Tamandua tetradactyla: one gene and its partners. The protein of the gene in region 3 purifies or fractionates together with the protein of the main gene of each other region. This does not show direct contact. Links are inferred from orthologs where the notes say so. Each region holds a gene or a part of one and is shown on either strand. Other genes may lie near its edges.

The links.
Region 1: the proteins of KLC1 (region 3) and KIF5A purify together in Homo sapiens (co-immunoprecipitation; 7 studies listed by BioGRID and IntAct, counting the BioPlex papers as one, with this or other methods). This does not show direct contact. The link is inferred for Tamandua tetradactyla from reciprocal best matches to the Homo sapiens genes KLC1 and KIF5A.
Region 2: the proteins of KLC1 (region 3) and KIF5C purify together in Homo sapiens (co-immunoprecipitation; 4 studies listed by BioGRID and IntAct, counting the BioPlex papers as one, with this or other methods). This does not show direct contact. The link is inferred for Tamandua tetradactyla from reciprocal best matches to the Homo sapiens genes KLC1 and KIF5C.

What each region holds. Positions count from the first base shown.
Region 1 is NC_135333.1:124,840,201-124,847,189, reverse strand, and holds the start of KIF5A (kinesin heavy chain), read right to left. Parts: upstream 3,010-6,989; 5' UTR 2,905-3,009; coding exon 2,776-2,904; intron 1-2,775. Other genes in the region: DCTN2 (dynactin subunit 2), read left to right, coding at 5,823-5,858, 6,685-6,753. UniProt on the Homo sapiens protein: Microtubule-dependent motor required for slow axonal transport of neurofilament proteins (NFH, NFM and NFL). Can induce formation of neurite-like membrane protrusions in non-neuronal cells in a ZFYVE27-dependent manner.
Region 2 is NC_135329.1:118,827,446-118,835,445, reverse strand, and holds the start of KIF5C (kinesin heavy chain), read right to left. Parts: upstream 3,010-8,000; 5' UTR 2,995-3,009; coding exon 2,869-2,994; intron 1-2,868. UniProt on the Homo sapiens protein: Microtubule-associated force-producing protein that may play a role in organelle transport. Has ATPase activity. Involved in synaptic transmission. Mediates dendritic trafficking of mRNAs.
Region 3 is NC_135340.1:89,202,510-89,210,257, forward strand, and holds the start of KLC1 (kinesin light chain 1), read right to left. Parts: upstream 3,017-7,748; 5' UTR 2,892-3,016; intron 1-2,891. UniProt on the Homo sapiens protein: Kinesin is a microtubule-associated force-producing protein that may play a role in organelle transport. The light chain may function in coupling of cargo to the heavy chain or in the modulation of its ATPase activity.

The DNA.
Region 1 (6,989 bases), on a different chromosome or scaffold from region 3:
GTGCCGCTCACCCGCAGCATAGCCAAGAAAGATAAACAGAGAGACACGTAAGTTGGTCCAGTGACAAAACTACATTGGGATCCTGAGTGACACAAAGAGCAAAATGAGATGCACATCACACAGAGACGGTGACCCAGACACTATTCTGCTATGACTCAGGCCATTAACTTTGGCTAAGCTCCATCCCCCAGATTCCTGGGGGAAGTCAGGGGAGCAGGGGAGGGATAAGGTTCGCAGAGCAGTCTCTCCAGCTTATTCACCCACCCGTTGCCAAGCAGAACAAAGCCCACTGACATAAGGGACTCTGAAGCCCAGAGCTAGCCGCCCGGCCATGCTGCAGAGGTACAGAGGAGAGCGGTTATAGGAAGGAGCAGGGCTGGGTTTGGAGAGATGGCCCTTCCCAGTTTTGCTCTTCCCTCATCTTCCCAGACAGCATAAAGAAGCTTCTGAAGCTTCTTCCATTAATTTCTCAAACTGTTCCCACACACTGGGTCCTAAAGGAAGACCAGCGGAAAAAAGAAGGAATGGGGATAGATGACTATTCCATGTTCCCTCAAAACCACTGCTCCTATAGCCTCATTCCCCTAAATGAGGAAGGAATAATAAGGCTGGGAAGGTAAACCTCCAGGATGCTGCCTGAGACAAAATGGCCCCTCACAAGCATTTATCTCGGAGTGAGAGATTGACTGGGAGGGCTAGGGCATGGGAAGATTCCCAACTAGACAAAGGTATAGTCCTACAAATATAGAGCTAAACAGACAAGGAAGTGCTAGCTGTGGAGCTGAGATAGAATCTGAATGGGCAGAGGGCCCTGGACTTCTCTTCATCTCTCCTCCTTCCCCACCTCCCACTGGTCTCTTCTGTTTAGCTAGGCTACTTGGACAGATCGACAGCATACCCCTTTCTCCCAGCATCACCCTCTGCTCCACATTCAGCACACCAGGATGGCCCACAGAGCCCAAAGGAGTCGGTTCAGACTTACCTGAAAAACCTTCTGGGGCAAAGAAGCTAAGCTTAAAAGAGGAAGCTTTTTGTGTGTTTTCTCCTCCATAAACATCTCTTTCCAATTTTTCAGCCTTCATTTCAAAGGAGGACCTCAAACTCTAACTTTTATAGCTAATGCCTACTGTCCAGGCTACTCAGATAAGGGTCACCCCCAATCCCTCCCTGGGGATGATTGAGGCCCTTTTTTTTTTTTTTTTTTTTTTGGCCTAGACAGAGTGACAAGACTGTAAGACCCTCTGAGAGCAAGGCCTGGGGTCCTAAGGCAAAAAGAGACAAATCTCCACATGCAAACACACATATAAGGCAAAAGCACCCATTTGAGTTCACAACATGGGTGAGGGCACAGGGTGGTGACAGACTAGGGCCCTTGGGAACAGGTAAGCAGGTCTCTTCCTAAGACATGTTTATTTAAAGTCCCAAATTCACTGACTCAGGGGGCCCATGCTCCCTCCCCTCCTTCCCTTTATTCCTTTGACAGGCCTGTTGCCAGCTGCCTGTGGCAAGCATTGTGGATCAAAGATATATAAGTAGCCCTGACCTTGAGAAGATTGGGGTCTACCCTCAGATGTGCCACTCCCTTCACTAAAAGGGCAACCATTTCCTGGCCTAGCACTCTTCAAGACCATAGGACTCAACCCCCAGGTCCTTTCACCCGACAGCCTGATGGTGCCTACTAATCTAGGAAAGGTGGAATGAGTGAGGCCTAGGAATTCCCTATGGGCCATAGCAGATAAAGGTCCCGAACAGAAATCTGGGGAGACAGTGTGATGTCGAGAAAAAAAAACATGAGTTTTTGAGTTACAGATTTGGATTCAGATCCATAACTGTGTGACCTTGAGAAAGTCATTAAACTTCTTTGGGTCTCAATTTCCTCATCTATAAAATGGAAATCTCAATACTTACTTCAGAGCGATGTTTTGAGGATTTAATATGTAGAACAACAAACACACAATAAATATTAGTTCTCTTAATAAGATCTCCTGCATGGGAAGGGGCTGTCACAATGAGGTAACAATGGCTTGCTACTTCTTACTGGAGCATCAACAGAAAGGGTGAATAAGCAAGTATTTATTAGGATTTCAGCGTTCTGGCATTTTTACTTTTTGGAGGGGTAGGATAGGAGGGGTTTGAAATCCACTTACCACTGTACCTGGGACGGATAGATAGACATTTCCTTAGGACCCCAGGGGTTCCCCCCAAATCGGGTGTGGCATTAAAGTATTCCTTTCCCAGAAAACCCTTCACTAGACCTGAACCCTCCCCCGCTCCCAAGTCCAGGCTAATTAGTTTGGGGGATGATGGAGGGCTTGATTCTGGAGCCCACTCCCATTCATACCTCTGCACAGACCCTGGGCTGCCCACTTCGCTTCTAGCCCATCCACTAGCCTTCCCCCTCCTTTCCTGGGAGGCTGGGGTAGAGATCGGAACCAATAACAAAGGGAAGACAGGCCTTCTCTAGGGGAAATGGAAAACATCAGAAAAACACCGGACTACCTTTCAGGGATGCGGACTCAGCAAAGAGGAGTGGAGTCCCCAGATCTCTGGGAAGTAGCCCCCTCCCACTCTGCGGAGACTTGGCCACCGGCCTGGGCAGGCCACACCCAGCCATCCAGATGCAGGGGAGAGGAGGGACTGCGGCGAGGAGGATGGAGGGTGGAAGATGAGCGGTGGGGAGGGGGCGCAGAGAGACAGGTAGGGAGCAAGGCTCCGCAGTGGGAAGATTCAGCTTCTCGCCCCCTCCCCGAAATCCCTTCTGGGGGCGGCACTCACCCCAATAACGACGCTGTCGTCCCCTTGAAAAATAGGGATGAACTTGTCCCCCCGCAGAACCTCGGCTTGGTTTAGGGGCCGAAATCGGCAGAGCACCTTGATGCTACACTCGTTGTTTGTCTCCGCCATAGTGGTCCCCGGCGTGGGGCTGGGGCACTTCTTGGGCTGCAGGGGTGGTAAGTGCTCTGAAGGAGGGAGACGCCCAGCTGAGGCCGAGGCGGAGGACAGATGCTCGGTCTCTGGGGCCGAGAAGGATGTGGGGTCGCAGGGGCAAAGGCTAGGGAGCAGGATGGGGCGCGCTTCCTCTCTGCTGCGGCACTGGGATGCGGGAGATCTGCGCGTCTGGTCCTCTCCCGGCGCTCTGCCTCTCCGCCCCTCGCGCTGCAGCGCCTCGCTGCGGGCCTGGGCGGGGCCGCGACGGAGGCGCGGGGGCGGGGCTTCCTCCGCGGGGGGGCGAGCCGCGGGACGCCGACCCCCGAGCGGTGTGATCCTTCCGGTCTTCTCGCTTCCTCCCGGCCACCCCCACCGCCGGACGCTCGGAGAGAACCTTGCCCTCACCCCCTCCCCAACCAATTCACTCCCTGCATCCCACTCCCTCGACCAGTTTGTCCCTCTGTAGGACTCCGCCCCCTGGAAGGGAATAAGAAATCGGAGGTGGGCCTATTCTAGGGAATAGTGTCAACAAGGTTTCCGTCCCCCTTTTTTCCCGGGGCATCCCCCACCTCCTTCACAATCTTCTGTCCTAATTGGGAGCACATTTCTTATTCCTCTATCACCCCCACCAAGCACAGGCGCCGGACTCCTTATCCACTCACCTCCAAGGGCAGCTGCTTTACCGGGAGGGAGGGTGGGACTCCAGGTCCCCTTCTTGGGGGAGAGGAGTGAGAGAAGGGTCTGGCTACTTCTCTCCCCTTCTACACCAAGGGCTGTACTCTATTCTCCCCCCAACCTATATACCAGTTTGAGGGGCAACAAACTCCCATTCTAGGCTTTCAGAATCTAAAAGCCAGTGAAATCCTCATTTCTGCTTCCTAGGTTCAGGTTGGCATGGAAGTGGGTAGGAGTAACTTTTTTAAGAGTCAGAAAGTGCTGAAGGAGAAGTGGTGATGGGCTAGGTGAGACCAGAGGGGCTTGGAAGAGGTTTTCTAGGAGGGATTTCTGCATTCCAGTTTCAAGCAGGTTTAGCACCCTACCTGAGTATGTTTCCTGTCTCAGATACAATTGGACAGAATCTATACACAGCAGTTCCCTTCTCAGGTCTTTCTTCTCTGGTTCTTCCCCTTCCCTAGCAAAAGCCAAACCCAGAGATTGCTTGTCCTTCCTTCATGCAGGGGCTGCAGCCCCTGGACAGAAACATTCAGAAGCTGGCCAAATTGATTTTCTTCCCGTCATAGGCCTCTGCTGACCAACAGGGAGTTGGACTGCAGGTTGAGGCTCTAGGTCAAGGGGAGGAAGGGCAGAATGATGAGAGAAGGGAGGAAGGGATGGAAATTCTGCCCAACAGCTGTCTGGAAAATGTCTGACGTCATTTAGACACTATGGGGCAAGGGTTAGTGGCTGTTGGCCTGACCAGACAAGACACAACCACTCATCTGGGGGAAGGGGCCCTACACATTGGGCCTACACCTTGATCCCAACGTGCATCTTAAAGGAACTGAATGAAAAGGATCCAGCATAAGGAACTGGATGAGAAGGCAGTCTCTATGGAGAAAGAGAGACAGAAGTTTGGGGAGAAGCCAGGAGAGTATGGCTAGAATGACAATGAGTTCCAACTCAGGAAAATAGACTTCTCTCCAGTCACTTGGTCTGGCACTATTTCTAAGTGTTGCAGCATCCTGCAAACTCAGGAAACATCCTAACCTTAGGCTCCCATGGGCTCCAGGGTGGCATCCTTAGTTAAGTAGTTGCAAAATGCCAGAACATGGAAAGTCACTGGGTAGAGACAAAAACCCACTGGGTATACCCCCTCTCTCCAAAAAAAAGCCAACGGGTGTATTTTTCATAAAGTTGGATTTATTAAGTTTAAAAGATTGTCCTTTATTCTGAAAGTCTGTCCTTCCTACTTTTCTACTAATTAATGACAGTGATAATACATAGGTTTTCATTTTCGTTGTACTTACTTGGCAAAATAAAAATGTAGCTATGTTATTTCTATCTTCACAAGATATTTCTATCTTGGTATTGTTGTTGTTTTAGTTTCATTAAGCCATGAAATCCCAAAGTCTGGGAACTATTAGCCAAGTGGTTAGAAGAACAGAGACTGACTGGTCTGCCAACCATTGAGCTACCACTTACCTATTGTGTGAATTTGAGATAGCACATTGCCAGATTAGGAAGAAAAAAAGAGAGGACGCCCAGTTAAATTTAAATTTCATATAAAGAATAATTGTGTATGTTTCAAATATGGCATGGGACATACACTAAAAAAATTGTTTATATGGAATTCACATTTAACTAAGTTCCCTGTACTTTATCCGACAGCTCTAACTTGAGAAGAGTATGTAACTTTTCCATTCCTAATAGACCCTAAGCGTTTTCAAAATTTTACTTTTTATTGTTGTTTCTGAAATCTTTGGCCGTACTGCAGCAGGACTTGCTGTGTGATTTTATCTAGTCACTTATTTTCTGTGAGTTCCAATATATACAACGGATAACTTTCACAGACTTGATGTAAACATGAAAGGAAATAAGTTCTGTGAAATAATTCCCTAAGGTGCATTACTGTCGTACCCTGCCCGAGCCCCGGCCTACCGAGACTACAAAACCCACAATCCTAGGCGGCGACCCCACCCCCACCCCCGCCATTACCTCATTCTCTGGTCTTGTCCTCGCCAATCACCGCCCCGTCAGGGGTGTGGTAGTGGGCTGTTCTCGCGACTGTTGCTTTACCCTTCTCCCTGTGTTGCTACTGTCGCGAGACTTCCGACTGCTCCGCCGCTCCCTTTGCTTCCGCTTTAGCCTGGGACCGGCCTCAACCTCTTCCCTACCCGAACGTCAGCCCCGGCTCCTCCGAGGCCCCGGTCCCCCAACCCCGCCTCGCCGCCTCCATGGCGGACCCTAAATACGCCGACCTTCCCGGCATTGTGAGTACAGGGGCCGGCCCCGGCTCCCCACCAACGCGCCCGCGACTTACCAAGGATCCCCAACAGATACCAACCCGCGACCCCTCCCCCCTGCAGCCCCTCCTCCGCTCCAAGGGCGCTTGCTGCTCCCTTCCCGACGGGCCACAGCACCTTCCCAACGACTCCGACCCGACTGGGCCAGGCTGTCGGCCGGCGCAGCAGGCCCACTTTCCGGCAGTTGCCGGTTACCCGGCCCCGGAATGCACCGGGTGTTTTCCACTTGTGCCCTACCTAGTGTTTCCATCAGCCGTGTTAACACCGCCCGTGCTGTCCCAGATCCCTCCATAAGCTCTCCTCCCAGAACCCCAGACGCACAGGTCACTTGATAATGGCCTTACCCGACCAAGGAAAAGGGTAGGGTGATAGAACCATTCTTGTGCCAGATGTGGAACTCTGCACTACGGGAACTTGTCCCCCGATGCACATGCCGGCATGTACCACTCTGCTTGTGTTGTTGCCCTCCCTGTATCCTCGGGATGGGAGTTGTGCTACGGTAGTGGTGTACAGGGCCTAATTTGAGAATAGCCCTCACCTTCTTCTGACATAATGAGTGCAAAGATTTGCCCCCCTCCAAATTCTGGATAGTATTTTTCTCATCACTAACGCTCACCATTTACTGTCAGGCCCAGATATCTTTACTGTCATCCCCACTCCTCTAAAACATGGGGAACTGACTTGTTCTGGGCAGGCAGAGGTGAAAGGACAGAATCTCAGCATCACACTATGCTTTCTTTGTTAGTTTGGATGCTGGGTAGTGTGGTTGGGTGATCACTGCTTCTACCTGCAGGCCAGGAACGAGCCAGATGTTTATGAAACCAGCGACCTACCTGAGGATGATCAAGCAGAGTTTGATGCGGTAAGACTGTGTGCTGCCTCAGGACCCCTCTGGGCTCTGACCTATCTTCCCCAGGCAGGCTTTCTCCTTTCTCTGGCCAGCAGTAAGCGGGTATGCCAACCCCAGCCTAGCTGTTATGTAGGTTGCAGGGCTTGCAGAGGCCTCTCAGCCAACAAAGAGCAGTGCCATGAAGGAGAGTTACATCTGAGGAATTACAACCAGGAAGACTTGCTGGGAAAGCCCTTATCCTTACGCCT
Region 2 (8,000 bases), on a different chromosome or scaffold from region 3:
CATCCTTTAGCATCTGGCAGATTTCTGCTCTGTACCCACATTTACCAAAAGACATGTAAAAGAATGTTCAGAGCAGCAATATTCATATTAGCCCCAAACTGAAAAACTATGTATATATCTATCAACAGCTAAGGGATAAATGAATTATAGTACATTCATATAATGGATGCTATGGAGAATGGAAATGAACAAACTACTGTTGCAGCCACAACATAGATGAATTGGACAAGCATAATACTGAGCGAAAGAAGCCACACAAAAAAGAACATTCTGTATGGTTCCATGTACATAAAGTTTTTTAAAAAAAGGATAACTAACTAATCTATAGCATTAGAAGTCACAATAATGGTTACCCTGAGGTAGGAGGATGTAATGACTTAGAAAGGGGCATTAGGGGAGCTTCTGGTGTCATGAAAATATTATTTCTTAATCTGAGAGGTGGTTTCAAGGTGGGGCATTTTCTTTGTGAAGATTCATCAAGCTCTATACTGTATACTTATAACACTTGGGTATATTAAGGTTTTACAACACTAAGAAGTTTATCTACAAAAAAAACAAAACCCTGAAAACTGTCCATTGTATAAAAGGATTACATGTTACAGTTAAAGAGCAACACATGTATTCAAATCCTCAGTTTTTGTTTAAATTACTTATTTTATGTGATGACCGCTTCAGTGTATTCAGTCAATAACAAGTGAATATTTAGATAGGAAGATAATACACACTTACATGAAGGTCACAACATGGAAGAAAGATAAGCCTAAAATTAAGGATCTCTGTTATGAACATAGATCAAAGATTTATTCCTCCTCCTCATTTGTCCTGATACTTCACTCTATTAGAAGAAAGAGAAGAAGAAAAACAAAGAGAAGAAAACTTCTCCTCCAGGCTCTTCTTTAAAACCTCTGGGGTGGGGGGATGGGGGGGGAGGGGAGGGGGAGGTCACCAGGACCTAGTGCTGCACTATCTGTTAAAAATTTGTTACCAGCCAGGGGGCAGAGACTAGATGTTCCCAGTAACTCCCACTCTATCTAAACCACAGCCTAGCTGAGCAAAGAGCAGATCAGACTATTAGGCAGATCCCGGTTGAGAACTGTAACCCAAACAAGCCACTGTCTGCCCCAAGGTGCTAGCTGTGGATAGGTCACGAACCCAAATCTGTCAATAACTTTAGAATTTCCCTCCTCATCAATAATTGTGGCAATCATCTCTGCAAGTAAACACTTAGCAGAGAGAAAATCCCTCTTCTTGGCCCTCACAGGTTAGCTCTCCGAAAGAACGCCCACCCACTTAGCACTTGAAGGTCGTGGTTTCCTGACATCTGTGAAAATGGGGAGGGGAGAATGGGTCGTCAAGGGGAGCTGCCTTCCCAAAGGAGGTACGGGATGAAGCCCTGAGGCCAGAGCCCCGCCTGGCTTCCCCGTGAGCGGAGAGCGCCCGCCTACCGGTACGCTAGTACCTACTGGTCCCCCGGGCCATTCGCCGGGACTGCGGCAAACAACCTCCGCCAAGCTGCTGGGGAGCGCCCGCGGCTGCGCCAACCTCGGCCTCCCGTGCTCAGAGACAGCTCGGGCCGACACCTACGAGCCCCTCAGTGAATAGTCACCTGTCAATCACTTGACCTAAATACACCGGCCACTGGGGGAGTGGGGGGGTGGGGGGGATTAGTAAGAGCATGCTCAGTAGTGGGGATGACATCACTTCATCAATGCTGGGTCGGGAAGGCTGCATCAGCAGCCTAGAGCCGACTACCAGGAACGTGTCAGCCGGCACCTGGGGGCTCCGATTAACTCAGTCCCTCCCCAGGCAGCTCGCGTACAAAGGCGGCACCGGCAGCCACATGCCAGGAACCGTGTAGGGGTCAGGAAAGGGGGACCAGGCTGACTATGTCTTTAAGAACTAAAAAAAAAAAAAAAAAAAAAACCAATGGCATCCCCTCCCCCCACCAGCAGCCCCACAGCAGAGGGAGCTAAATAGGGGGCCCAGGCGGAGGGGGCAGGGAATGGGGAGAAGAGTGGTTAAGACCAAGGAGCCCCTAACCACACAAGTAACTTCTGCTCTTGGCACAGACGGGCTATCTGGATGCGTTCTTGCCCCCCTAGCTCCACACGTGGGAACCCAGCCCCCCCACACACTCCACCCAGTGAAAAGCACATTCGAGGGTCTGTGGACACAAGGTGGGGTTCGCCCCAGCCGGGAAGTGTCAAACCTAGGCTCCTCGTCCAGGCAGCCTGGGTTGAGGGCAAGCAGAACGAGACACAACGGACCTCCTGGGACCACCAAGGCCGCCAGTGCCCCCCATCTACCCTCGCCTTGCGCGAGCTGAGCAAGGTGAAACATCGCGGGAAGCCGCGTCTACACGGCCACGGAATCCCCGAGCTGAGGCCTGGATTTTTCTTCTTATTTTGTTAAGGTCGAGAGAAGAGACAAAGTGTTCGATAAATCGAACAGACGCCTGCAAGCATTTGTGGGTTGCAGAGCTCATACTTCCAAGGGGGTCCAAGCGCCCCGACTTAAGAGTACCTCGAAGAGACTACCCATGCGGCATGGCCAGGGTGGGAAACAATAGGCCCACCCGGGCCCCCACCCCGCGAACAATGGCGGCGCCCAGCCCTTCCTCGCCCCCACCCCCACCACTGCCACCCGGGACCCGCCCCACCACCCACAGCCGACCCTCCTCCTGCCCTGGAGGGACCTATGGGGCTGGGGAGTGGTCTCTCCTCGCGCCCACCCGGATTGGGGAGCAGAAGGGGAGCCCCGCGGGCTTGTCCGAAGGGGCGGCCAGCGCATTTACGCTCAATCTGGGGCGTCGGGGCACCCGGCTGCGGCGCGAAGCGGGAGGGGAGGTCAGACGCCCCGGCCACTTACCCCGATCACCACGGTCTCATCGCCTTTAAATTTGGGGATGAATTTGTCCCCGCGGAGGATCTCGGCCTCATTGAGGGGCCGGAACCGGCACATCACTTTGATGCTGCATTCGGCTGGATCCGCCATCTCGGCCAGCGGCGGGGAGGGGGCGCGGGGATGGGTGGGGGGCCGGGGCTCGGCACCACGAGGAAGGAGGCCGCGGAATGCACCGCCCGCAGCGTGGCCGCCTCCTGCAGCCTCCGACGACGCTTCTCAGCAGGTCATAGCTCAGCTGGCTGGGCAGCTCCCGCCGCTCCGAGACCGGGGAGGTGGCAGCCTACGAGCCCCCGATCCCGCCAGCTGCACACCTGCCCTGCCCAGCCCTCGCCAGGGGCCCACCCGCCCGCGACCACGCGGAGGGCAGACGAGGCGATGCGCAAGGAGGGAGCTTTGCTGGGCTCAGACCTCCCGGGCTCCTGCGCGCTCAGCCATCCTGCTTCAGCACCAGCGCGCTTCGCAGCCTCCGGGGCCCGCCCCTCCGCACGCCCCCCGCCCTGCGGCCCGCCCCGGGACGGTGACGTCACTGCGGGGCCTGCCCCGCCCCTGCCCGGCTCTCAGCGTAGCGCCGCGCATCTCGGGACTTGTAGTCGCTGCATGTGCAGGTGGAACGTCAAGGACACTTGTAGTTAGCTTTCGGGAACAGGGTGGTGCACCAGGTGCGATTTCCGAGAGCCTACAAGTCTGGTCTGACTGCCCAAGCCAAGAACTGGATGGAAGGTCATATCCAATATTCCCAGTTAAAATTTATATAGAAAACCATGTCTATATAATCTCTTACCACTTCTCCTGATTCCAAAGGAGAACCACTTATTAAGACAGTGTCCAACCAGAACTGTCATCCAGCATTTTCTTTGCTCTGAAGACTGTTGTAGGAGTTGTGAGTAAATCGGGGGGCAGGGGTGGAGGATGAGATTTGCCATGGATATTTGAAACCAGTTATACCTGGGTTTGCCTGTATATACAAAGGATTCATAACATATTTTGGGTCGGGGCCTCAGCTTATTTCTGATGAAAGTTAGGAAAATTTTCCATGGCAAAAAAAATAAAATAAAATAGCCTTAAACAACCACATGATTTTGCGTGCTATTCAGAAGTCTCCAGGACAGCTGAAGCCTACCTGTCACTCCTAGGTTAAGAAACTCTTAAATACTATTAAATGCAGTTAAGATTATAGAATTCCACCTAAATTTCTACTTAGGATTCTGCAGAATAAACAGAATTTGTTCAGATCAAGTCCAAATTCCTTCACAGGATACACCCAGACCCCCATGATCCGATTTTTGCCTATTTATTTAGCCTCGTCTCTTGCCACTACTTGCCTTTTACACTCTGACAAATACCAGACTATGTGTGGCTTTCTCCATTTACCATGTTACCTCTTGATTCTGATACTTTGTTTAGGCCATTTGCTCTCCTGGAATTTCTCCACCCATTCATGCCCATTACTAAGTGTTACGGGTTGAATTGTATCCCACCAAAAGACATGTTCAAGCCCTAACTCCCAACCCTGTGAATGTGACTTCATTTGGAAATACGGTCTTTGGAGGATGCAGTTAGTCAAGATGAGACCAGTCTGATCAGGGTCCTTATAAGAAGGAAGAGGAGTCACCAATTCAGACACAGGGGAGAAGACTATGTGGTGACTGAGGCAAAGACCGAGGCCAAGAAATGCCAAGTTTTGCCAACAAACACCAGAAACTGGAAGAAGCAAGAGAAGATTCTCCCCTACAGATTTCAGACTTATAGTCTCCACAACCATGAGACAATAAATTTCTGTGTTTTAAGCCATCCAATTTATGGTACTGAGACACTAGGTAAATGTGTCAGGGCTCTTATGATGGAAAGCAATAGAAAGGCCCCTTGACCCAATCAGGCAAAGAGGGAGTTTTCCAAAAGGATACAGATGTATCTTGCTTATTCAAGATATGATTGAGCAACTGAGCCAGAGGCAGGGCAGGCCACCAGGACTCTCTTCTCCTCCTCTGCTCCCTGTTCTCTTACTCTTTCTCACTCTACAGCCTCCCTCTACATGGCAGGAAACCCAGCTTCCAACAGCCCTTGAGGTTCATTTTTCAGTTTCTACCATTAGAGGATAGATTCTTGTTCAGAGTTTTGGCTGAAAAATCCTAGGGAGAGTCTCTGATTGACCTGCGCTTGAGTTGGTGACTGCCCATACACAATCAACCAGAGCTAGGGACTCTGTAAAACCATGGAGAAATCCCAAAAGAGGATGCTAGTCCCAGTAGAAGGGTGTGATGCTGGGCTGGCAGAACGATGAGGTGTCCACTCTAACTTGCCAGTGCTGCCTTTTCCTCTAAGACTCAGCTCAACCCTCCCTATTCTATGAAGCCTTCCCTGACTCACTAAATGCCAGCACAGAGCTGGTGGTCCTCCTTGAGGTTCCCATAGTCTCCTGTGCATGTCTCTATCATGGCACTTCCACAGGTAATGTCATCTGCTTCATCTTTGGGTCTCTAGCACTTAGTAGGCAGCATATAGTGAGTAAGAAATCCAGTTTAGGAGGAAGTTACACCTGAGTGATTGAGCTATACCCAGTTCTGTCACTTACTAGACCCATAGCAATGTACTGAATTTTTTTAAGACTCAATTTCCTCATCTCTGTCATTGGAATAATAATATCATCTCATAGGGTTTTTGAGTGAATGAAAGGAAATAATGCTTTGAAGGCCCCTAAAATGATCCCTGATACGAAATAGAAGGAATGTGGCTTTGTGGGTAATGGTATGGGTTCTGGACCGAAACTACCAGAATCAAAAGCCTGTCTCTGTCAGGCATTGAAACATGTGGCCATGACCCCTGACACATACATGGTATAAACCTTTGAATGTCAATTACTATTATTATTATTGGGTGTGCAACAAAAAATTATGTAATAGTTATTTAGTTAATTTTAGGATCACATCTTTTGCTTAAATCCAGGTATACCTCAGAATACAAGTCCTCTGACTAGCAGAGAGGACACGCTTAATAAAATTCACTGTTATGAACTACTGTACGCAGCACCAATTTGGTTTCCTGTTCTCAGATGCAGTGAAAGTAGGTTAAAGAAGGCCCAAGTGCCACTCTCATCTGTTTTCACATGAAGTAGTTCTAAGGTGCTGGCTAGGGAACCAGCATATTCAGTGGTCAGCTTCATGAGATACTGGAGAAGGCAGTCTAATCTCCAGCCTCCCTGGGCCCAGCAGAGAATGCCCAGAAGCTCACACACAGCCCACCAGCTATCTGGTCTGTCTGAGGTGGTCAAAATCGTGGAAACCCTTGAGGTGGACAGAGATCTACCTGCATTGACTGAGTTCACTCTTCATTCATGTGTTCATCCATCCATCCAATATTAATGTGCAAGTGACATTTGCTGCTATATAAATGTAAGGCTATAAAGTGAGCCTTTTTTCAAGAGGACTACCACAGGTTCCCCACTTAGGTAGGAGTTGCAAAATAGTTGCTGCCCTCAGAGAACTTAGAAACAAGTTGGGGGGCAGAGGATGAAGTCTTAGTGGTACCTGGGAAGACTTCATCAAGGAGATGGGCTAGGTAGTAGTCACAAAAGGAAAGGAAGGGAGGGAGGGAGATATTTTGGTCATTGGGGTTAATTCCCTGACATCCTTTCCACCCCTCCCGTACTGTGTAGCATGAACATGGTTGGAGAATTGTCCCTTGCTCCAGGTATGGACTCTAATCTGTCAGTCAAACGTAGTCATCCCTGCCTTTTTGCCAGGGATTGGTTCAGGATGGGCAGGCTAATGCCAGTTTAGGCAAAGGAGACAAAGGTACAAGTTTGCCAGAAGTTTGGAAAGACATTCTATTACTCAACCATCACTCCCCAGCTACTGGAAACATGCTGTGACCACATGGAGAATTAGACTTAAAATAAAGCCAAAGCTGCGGGACAGCAGGAGCCAAGAGACCCAAAAATTTGGGTCCTCAAACTGGTGAATCTGCCAAACCCAACACCTGCTCTACTCTAGACTTCTTGTTCATGAGTGATAAACTTGCCTATCCCTTAAGTCAGTGTTCTGTTAGTTGCGGCTGAAAACGTCTCAACTGATACAAGAGAATAGTTAGGGGAGAGGACAACAAGGGCCAAGGTATAGAGATCAGATAAAGCTTGGCATGGCCAGGGACAGTGAGGAGACCAATGCAACCTGAGTGGGATTAGTAAGAGATTAAGTCAAAAGGCAAGTTAGTTTCCAGACATGAAAAAACTTAAAGGTCAAACTAAGGATTTTTATCATTGGGCTAAGCTGGAACCATCTCTGGACACAAAGCAAATCAATCAATCACAGCATTTATGGCATTTGGTTCTGTGACCTTATACTCTCCAGACCTCCGCGAGCCACTGGTAGCTACTAAGCACTTAAAATGAAGCTGGGAGGTGAATTTTTATTTTATTCATTTTAATTAATTAAAATTTAAATTTATAAACCAATGCTCAATTATTGGAAAATTTTTAAGTATATGGAATAATTTGGTATGTGAATCTACCTTTTCAATTGTAAATTTTTTGAAATCTAAATACACAGCAAGCATTTCTCATAAAAATTTAGTGCCCAAAACCAGATGTGCTATATTAAAAAAAAAACAAAACAGGATTTTGAAGACTTATGTATGAAAAAGAATGTAAAATAACTCATAAATAATTATTCTATATTGCTTACATATTAAAATGAAAATACTTTGGAAATGTTGGGTTAAATGAAACACATTTTTTTACTGTGAAAAATAACACATTTGCAAAAAAGCAATATATACAATATATATATACAAAAAATTTCCAAGCACACTGCCACAATTAGTTGTAGTACAGATTTCAGAGTTGGGTATGAGATACAATTTCACAATTTTAGGTTTTTACTTCTAGCTGCTCCAAGACACTGGAGAGTAAAGAAAATATCAATATAATGATTCAGCAATCATACTCATTTGTTAAATCCTATCTTCTCTGTTATGACCCACCTTCTCCTTTGAACTTTCTCCCAGTATTTAGGGTTATCTGGGCTTTGCCCATTCTAACTTTCCCATGTTGGAAAGGGCTGTTAATAATATGGGACAGGACGATGGAACTAGTTGATGTT
Region 3 (7,748 bases):
TTAAGTAAAATAATACTGTATTTTAGACAGCGATAACTGCTAAGGTGAAAGATAAAGTAGGGCAGGGTTTCAGTAACGTGGAGGGAAGGTGCAGGCTGCCACACTTCCAGAGTCCCGACTACGCCTGCGTGCTGGTGAGGGCAGCAGGGGCAAGAGGTGGGGGGTGAGGGCTGTGGGACAGCAGCAAGAACTCCAGCAGAGGACCATACGGTCTGACTCACATTTTAACAGTACCACTCCAGCTTTGCTCCCTGGATTCCTCCACTCCCAATCTTCCCCACCCCATTCCTGCCAGTGCCCCCACCATCACCCCATTGCAAGTCACCAAATCAGATCCCCTCTAGCCGTTAGTTAAACCCTTCTAATCCCACCATTCCTCTTGGTTCCCACCGCGAGAGTTTGCGCTCACCTGGACTCCTGCCAATAACTCCCAAACTAGTCTCCATCCTTCCATCTCTGTTCAAACCACCTACCACACCACTGTCTGCACCCGCTAATCAACTAGTACCTCCAGACCTCCTTAAGCCCCTCAGGAAGAGACCAGCCTCCTGTACAACCAAGACACCTTCCATAAGCTCATCTTTCCATTCTTACCCTTCAGCCCTTCCTAACATTTCCCCCTTACTGGAGGAAGACTTCACTCTCTGCACAGAACCAGCTCCCACCCATCGTGACTCAGATCAGGAGTCACCTCCTCTAGACCCTGCCTTCCCTGGTCCCCACCCCTTCTCAGCACACTCATCACATAATCTACCCTCACCTACGATGCCTAGCTGTTTAATTCTGGGTCTCCCTCACCCCACCCACCCAGACTAGAATTTCCTAGAGAATGACTCTCTTTTATCGCCATATCTGCAACTGCATGGCACAGAATCTAGCATTTAGGGAGTTTGGTCCTCAATAGACATTTGACGGTGGGTTTTTAAAACACCATGCTTTCATGATCTGAATTTGCTTACCATTTTTATTCTATTCCCTGCAGTGTGGTACTTAAAATTTTCCTTTACTCTTGTTTAAGATACACTACTCAATTATCTTTGTTATATAAAATACTGGTTTATCATACCACTTACTTGGTGACATATCTACTAAAAATGCTCCCAGATTCATTTTGTTCAATTTTTGGCTTTTTCTATTTCTAGTTTTCTTTTTACAGAATTATGTAACATGCTTAAACAGTTTTCAGACCTATATGGAAAGCTACATGTTGGCTTTTTAGACAACATTATGAAACATAAGGAAGAATATGTAATTTTAAAAATTGCAGTTAGTTTTTATTTATTGTGAAACACTGAAAACACTGTGCATCTTTCAGAGGACATTTCCTTCCTCCCTGCTAGCCTCCTTGGATCTGATCACTGTCCTCAATCCCCCATATTTTTTAATATGCCCCCTATGTATTGCCTAGTGTTTTTATAAGCAAACACTGCCAAGAAAAGTAACCCTGGGTCCAGTGAGGCTTCCACCCTGGCCTTCCAGAGTACTGGGCAAGGAGCACTACCAGCACCAGGGGTCAATATGACAGTGCATTCCTTGATGACTTGGGGAAAATTGTTTCTACCCTCCCATAAATAATTTCCCACAACCTGAACATTTTAGTAGTTAACGCCAGTGTATTCTTAAAAATACTTAGGAAACAACAATGAGTCAAATTTCCCTCTATGACAGGCTTGTTGCCAACCTGATTCAATTATGAGACTCAATGAGGTTGTTCCAATTTCCTAATGGGTTTTTCACTCAACTATTACAACTTATTGCCAGCTACTTGTTTTGATCAATGGCTCAGTTATGTTATACAAAACAAAGAACCAACCAACCAAACAAAAACTATGGAATTTAACTAATGCAAAGAACCAAATACCCAACTGCCCTTTCACACAGCAATTTAAATAGCATGTATCTTCACTTTTCCGTTGTTCTCATGCTTTTTAAAACACCACTTTTGCAAGTACTCCTTACCACACGCTGAAGATTCAACAACTCAAAGATAGAAAATACCTGGAAAAGACTTACAAATCTTAAGTTATAAAACCATGCAGTCCACCACGCACTGATTTTAGCTTTTAAATGCTTTATTTAATTTTAATTTTTTTTTTCAAGACAAGAGGGACGCCAAATTTTATAACCGAAAAAGTATTTCAAGACTGAAAAAAAAAGTGCTCCACGACGGAGGCTGCAGCATGCTAGGTGCAGCAAGGCCACTCTGAGTTAAGCCCGCGCACAGAATCTTTTCCCATCGGGTTATTAAAAGAAAGGGGCAGGCGACGCTGGACCTCTGCTGAACCCGGCCCCGGATGGAGGCCCGGGCGGCTCCAGTCGCCGACGAGGATGACAGGCGCGTCCGCCCAGGGCGGTGCCCGGGAGAGGGCGGGGGCGGAAGGAAGGAGGAGGATTCGGACAAAGCAGACCCCGGGCGGCGGCACTCCTCCCCACTAGCCCCGTCCCCGGGGCCGGCCACCACCCCGTCGCGGCGACTCCCGCGACCCGCAGCGGTCCCCGGGAACTACCGCCCCCGCCCGCCGCAGGGCCGAGCCCGGCGTGAGGGAAGGGGGGATGCGGGGGCGGGGGATGTTGGGCCCGGGATGCGGAGTGCCGGGCGGGGAATGCGGAGCCGGGAACAAGGGTGAGGATGGACACTGGGAACGGACCGGTGCGAGACAGGGAGCCGGGCAGGGGTACAGAGGAGTGGCCGGGAACCGGGAAAGGTTACCGGGCAGGAGCCAGGAGAAGCACCGAAAGGAGACCCGGGAGGAGCCGGGGACCGGGGCTGTTGTCGGGAAGACCCGGACGGGCATCGAACCCGGACGGAACCGAGACCTGGCCGGGGACCGAGGAGACGGCCGGGGCCAGGAAGGTGACAGGCCGGCGACCATGCCGCGGCCCTCACTCACCGTCCTGCTCCTGCGGGGGCCGCGCTCGCCACGCGCTGACAGGACGTGGAGGGCACGGGCCGCCGACGGGCCGCCCGCCGCGCGCAGAGAAGCTCGGTGTCTCAGGCGCGGCGCCGCGGTCACGAGCGAGAGGTGCTGACCCGGCCGCCGACCCGCAGCATCCTCGGCCGGCCGCCGCGCTGTCCCTCTCGGTCGCCGAGCGCAAGCACGAGGCTCCTCTCCTCGCGGCTCCTCTCCTTGCAGCCGCCGCCGCCGAAAGGCGCTCAGAGCTCCGCAGCCGGCACCGCTTCCGCCGCCGAAAATGGCGCCGAGCCCCTCCCCCGCGCCCCGCCCCACCCCACAATGCCGCGCGGCGCCCCTGTCATGACGTCACGGGCCCCCGCCGCCTGCGCGCGGGGAGACTGAGGCCCGGGAAGGCGTGCCTTTGATGGTCCCTGGCGGTCGGAGCGGAGCCCGTGGGGCTTCGTTCACACTGGGCCGGGACGTGGCGAGGCGTGCGAGGGCGCCGTCCGTGGGCTGCTCGCTGCCGCTCCGCCCGACGCGCTCGGCAGGGCGGCAGAGGAAAATCCGACTCTTCCCCTGCCGGTCAACGCCGCGCCCCCGGCCTCTTCCCACCCGAGGCCCGGCCCCTTTCAGCCTCATACATCGGGAGTGATATTCACTGACAGGCGCTCCTTGTGGCAAGCCCGGGTCGGAAGCCGTATTTGCTCCTTGAAATCGTACCTTGCCCCCTGCAAGGAGGCTTTCTGAGCTCCCTCTGAAGGAAGGGTTCCTGCAAGGCTTGGCCAGACCCTGGGTACGTTCGGGGTCTTAACAGCCGGGCCCCTAAAGGCCCAGGCCCTTGCGCCCGCCTCATCTCCCATTTCCCCTCCCTTGCCGCCAGGGCCCTGGATCCTCAAGAGTGTGAGCTTAGAGGGACTTTCCAGGCCCTCCTTCAAAGCCTACAAAGGCCTCACCCACACTGCACTTGGGGCTGGGAATAGGGGAAAGGGCAGGGTGCTGAACCAGCTACTGCCTGGCAAGAGAAGAGAAGCCCACGCTCTGCTGTCGCAGCCACTGGCAGCATCGCACACCCCTGCTGCAGTGCCTGGACCTCCAGGCCCCTGCAGGGCGGAACTTCCAGGTCAGGGAGGGCCCCGTGTATCCTGCTGCATTGCCAGCTCTGCAGGTCTGACTCAGCAGCCCAGCAACCGGCCTGGAGGCCGGGAGGACGGTGCTGATTCAGGGGGCAAGGCTCAGCTTTCGTTGCCTGCCACCAGCTTGGGAGAATCCTCCAGGTGCCTGAAATATCCCTGTGGCTTTAGGAAGCAGGAGGGCTTCCTGTGTCCGCCTGCATACCCCCCCCCCATTCTGTACTCCTTTCCTGGTGCCTGTCCTCTTCAGATGCTATCCCTATTTTAACCCTGCAGTTACGGGTCACCAGGGAAGTGAGTCTCCTAGGTTTTTCCAGGGAGGTCCAGTTATGTTGAAATATTGAAATATTTACAAATGCTAAGAAAGGGGGAGCACCTATGGTGACACAGCTGTTACAGAGCCCAAGAGTGAGACAGTGAATCGGACGGAGTCAAGTCCCTCCACTGGCCAAATCGCGCCTGGTTGTCACCGGCCTTAACTTGCCTGCTTCTCAGCCACTGCTGTAGGCCCAGGCCCAGCAACTGCAGGCAGGGGACCTGTGAGCATCCACTCTCTCCTGCGTAACAGGCTGAGCAGAGGCTCATTTATCTTTCTGTGCCTCTAGGCTCAATAAGTGGCATTTCCAAGCACCCATCACCCAAGCAAGAAACCTGGGGCCCTTATGCCCCACTTCTGAGGGGTGGCAAGATCCCACCTCAGTATTTATTTAACTCATCTCTTCCCGGTTCCCTTCACTGCCACAGGTGCAGGCTTTGTTATCTCATTCATTTATTCCTTAAGCAAATATTTCTTGAGCTCTTTTGATTCCCACTAAAAGAGCCAAGAATGTGTTGGTGAGCAGGGTAGAGAAGATTCCGGTTCTGCAGCAGTCTACATTCCAGTGAGAAGAGACAGATGGACAAACACATGAAGTGGGGAATATCTGAGCATGCCGTGCCATGATCAGGGTGAACATAAAATGATATGTACAACAGACATGGCTCAGAGACCACGCTGGGCAAGCAGTGAGGGATGGGCTCGGAGTTAGGGCAAGAAAGCTGAGACAAGCAAGGAAGAGACCAGGCAGCACAAAGGTGCAGGGCAAGAGTGCTCTAGCAAAGGTGCTCAGGCCAGAATGAGCTTGGAGGGTTGGGGACAGAACTGAAAGCTGGGTTCATCTACCCCACCCTAACATGTGAATCTAGTGATGTGACTTGAAGTGTTGTGATGCATCCACCCCTCTCAGGGCCAAGTTGAAACTCCTTAACTTCATCTGGAAGACCCACAGGACCCGGTCCTCTTGCCCCTAACACCCTCACCCATGCCCAAGCTCACCTGTTCCCTCCCATGGTCACACCCTGGATTTAAGTGTCCATTCTGCCCAGAATGCACCCCCTGCCCCCTTGTCCTGGCTCTCCTTCAAGATCAGCCAAGAGGTATTTCCTCCAAGAAGACTTCCTCTAAGCTCCCACCTTCCCTAGACTTCCCCCTATGCTCCTTTCCTTCACTATGTGGGCAGGTTACACAGCTGACACCCCCCTCTGATAGTGAGCCCCAGAGCTGGAGGCAACTGGACCCCCTCCTCACCCCCCCCACTGTGAGGGTGAAAAGAGAAAGGAAGGTCAGGGATGGCCTCCTCCAGGTCCTCTTTGCACGGAGCTCCCCTTTGGTGGAGCAGACACTTGAGGCACTCTGACCCCTGGAACTAAGGCCCATCCTCAAGAATTCCCATTCTCCCTTTGGCCAAGCCTTAAAGGGAACCATTAGCAGCCAGAGCTGCCACCCTCCACCCCTCAGCCTCCCTGGAGAGAAATCTGCCTGTCCTCAAAAAGACATGGGTGCTCTGCCTGAAGGCTGCAGGTCTGGTGACTCCGCAGTTACCCTGGGGGTGGTCTCAGGATCTGCCTGGCTGCCCGCTGGAGGGCAGGAGGGAAGGAGGGCAGGGCTGTCCAGGCAGAGGGTCGTGCCCGCCTTCCCTTCACTGCCCTCAGCATCCTCACTCCACTCGCTCTGCAAATTCTGTGATTTCTTGCTGCCTCCAGGAAAGGAATGGCTCCTCAGGTTCCAGAATCAAAACAGGGCCTTGTGCTCCAGATGCAGGCCCAGCCAAGTCATCATCAGTGTCTGGTGGGAACCTGGAAGCGGGGAAGGCCTTGGGGCTACTTCAGAGTCAGCAAACCAATTGCCTGTTCTTCCCCTAAACCAGGAGGTGCAGAGGGCCGTGGGAGCATAAGTGGCTGGGGGGGAGTCCCAGGGTGGACCAGAAATGCCTGTTTGCACAAGTCCTGGCTGTCTCTGAACACCTCTGAGGCCCCCAGGCTGTGGGGGATTAGCCAGCGGCTCTTCAGCACGCAGGGTGCCTGCACACCCTGAAAAGGGGGCCCCCGCCTGCCTCAGCCCCCTCCTCCCATCTCTTCTCTGCTTCCCTCTCTCCAAGGCTTCGTCCTCGGCCCTCCTCTGTTTTCTTCTCCTCCTAAGCCAGCCCCAGCTCCCCCACTGCTGTGCTCCCACACTGGAGAGAGTCACAGGCAGCATGGAAATCTGGCCAGGCTGGGGCAGAAGCGACACCCTTGGAGGCAGCCGCTAGGGCCCAGCAGACCCCAGGGCTGAAGTCCCTGTTGCAGGGGCAGTGAAAACGTCCAGCTGGGTCCCGTGAGGGCGCAGATAGCGACCTCTTGGAGTTTGTCAGGCCGGAGGCCTCACAGATAATCGGGGAGCATGCCACCCCGTATTCGTTCTGTCCCCATTGTTGACTGAGGACTGCATGTGTGAGGCACCCCGGGCCTGGGACACACAGTGGAGGAGGGACACTCGCTGGGCAGGTGGGCAGGCCCCACAGGTGAAGGTCAGGGGGAGGGCGCCGGGCCAGATGGGTGCTGAGCCAGGCAGTAATTGTCTTGGGGAAACCTGGGTTGGCGGGGGAAAGGGGGTGTCTGTTCTTTTAGCATTGATCATTTTCCTGTAAACTCTGGATTTCTGTCTCCCAGGACAGCCAGGAGCCCCTTTAGGGCAGGCAGGGGTTCTGGGTTCATCTTTGCTCCTGAGAACCCTGCACTGGTAGGCATCATCCTCAGTGAATTTAAGGGAAAGGGGGAGGGGGAGGAAAGAAAGGAGGAGAGAGAGAGGGAGGGGGAGAAGAGAACCCAAGAAGAGAGGAGGAAGGGCAGCAGCAGGGCGCGGGGAGCAGTCCTGGAGCGCGGTCTGCGGTCTGCAGGGCTCAGGCTTGGGGACGGGGCACGGGTGGGGCCTGGCCGGCATCCTGCCCACCGGGGTAGCCAAGGGGCCCGGGGCCAGTTCAGGCTCTGACCTGCTGCACTCTCTGGGTCTCTGGCTTTATGGTCTAAAGATGGATTTTATCAGATTTCCAGGTTCCTCTTGCGTGCCAGCTGCCAGGCGGAAAGTTCCAGTAACTGTTTCCTTCAGAACAAGGGGAACACCAGAACACACTCCCACTTTGGGTGGAAAGAGATGGCATGAAGGGGTGCGGTGGCCCACCCCACCCCTCTCGCTGGCCCTCTGGCCCTTTCTGTCTTTCACACACACGCACACACACTTGCACCAACCCACCCACTGTTCTCTAAGGGGAGGGGAATAGAGGCCAGGGACTGCTGGTTTAAATCCGGCTCCCCAGGGGTGCTCCCCAGGAGTGCTCCCCAGGAGCCAGCGGGACTCCTGTCTTGGAAGAACTCAGCTTCAGTTCTGTGAAAACGCTCATTTGAGAGTGGGGAGACTGATAAGACCCCT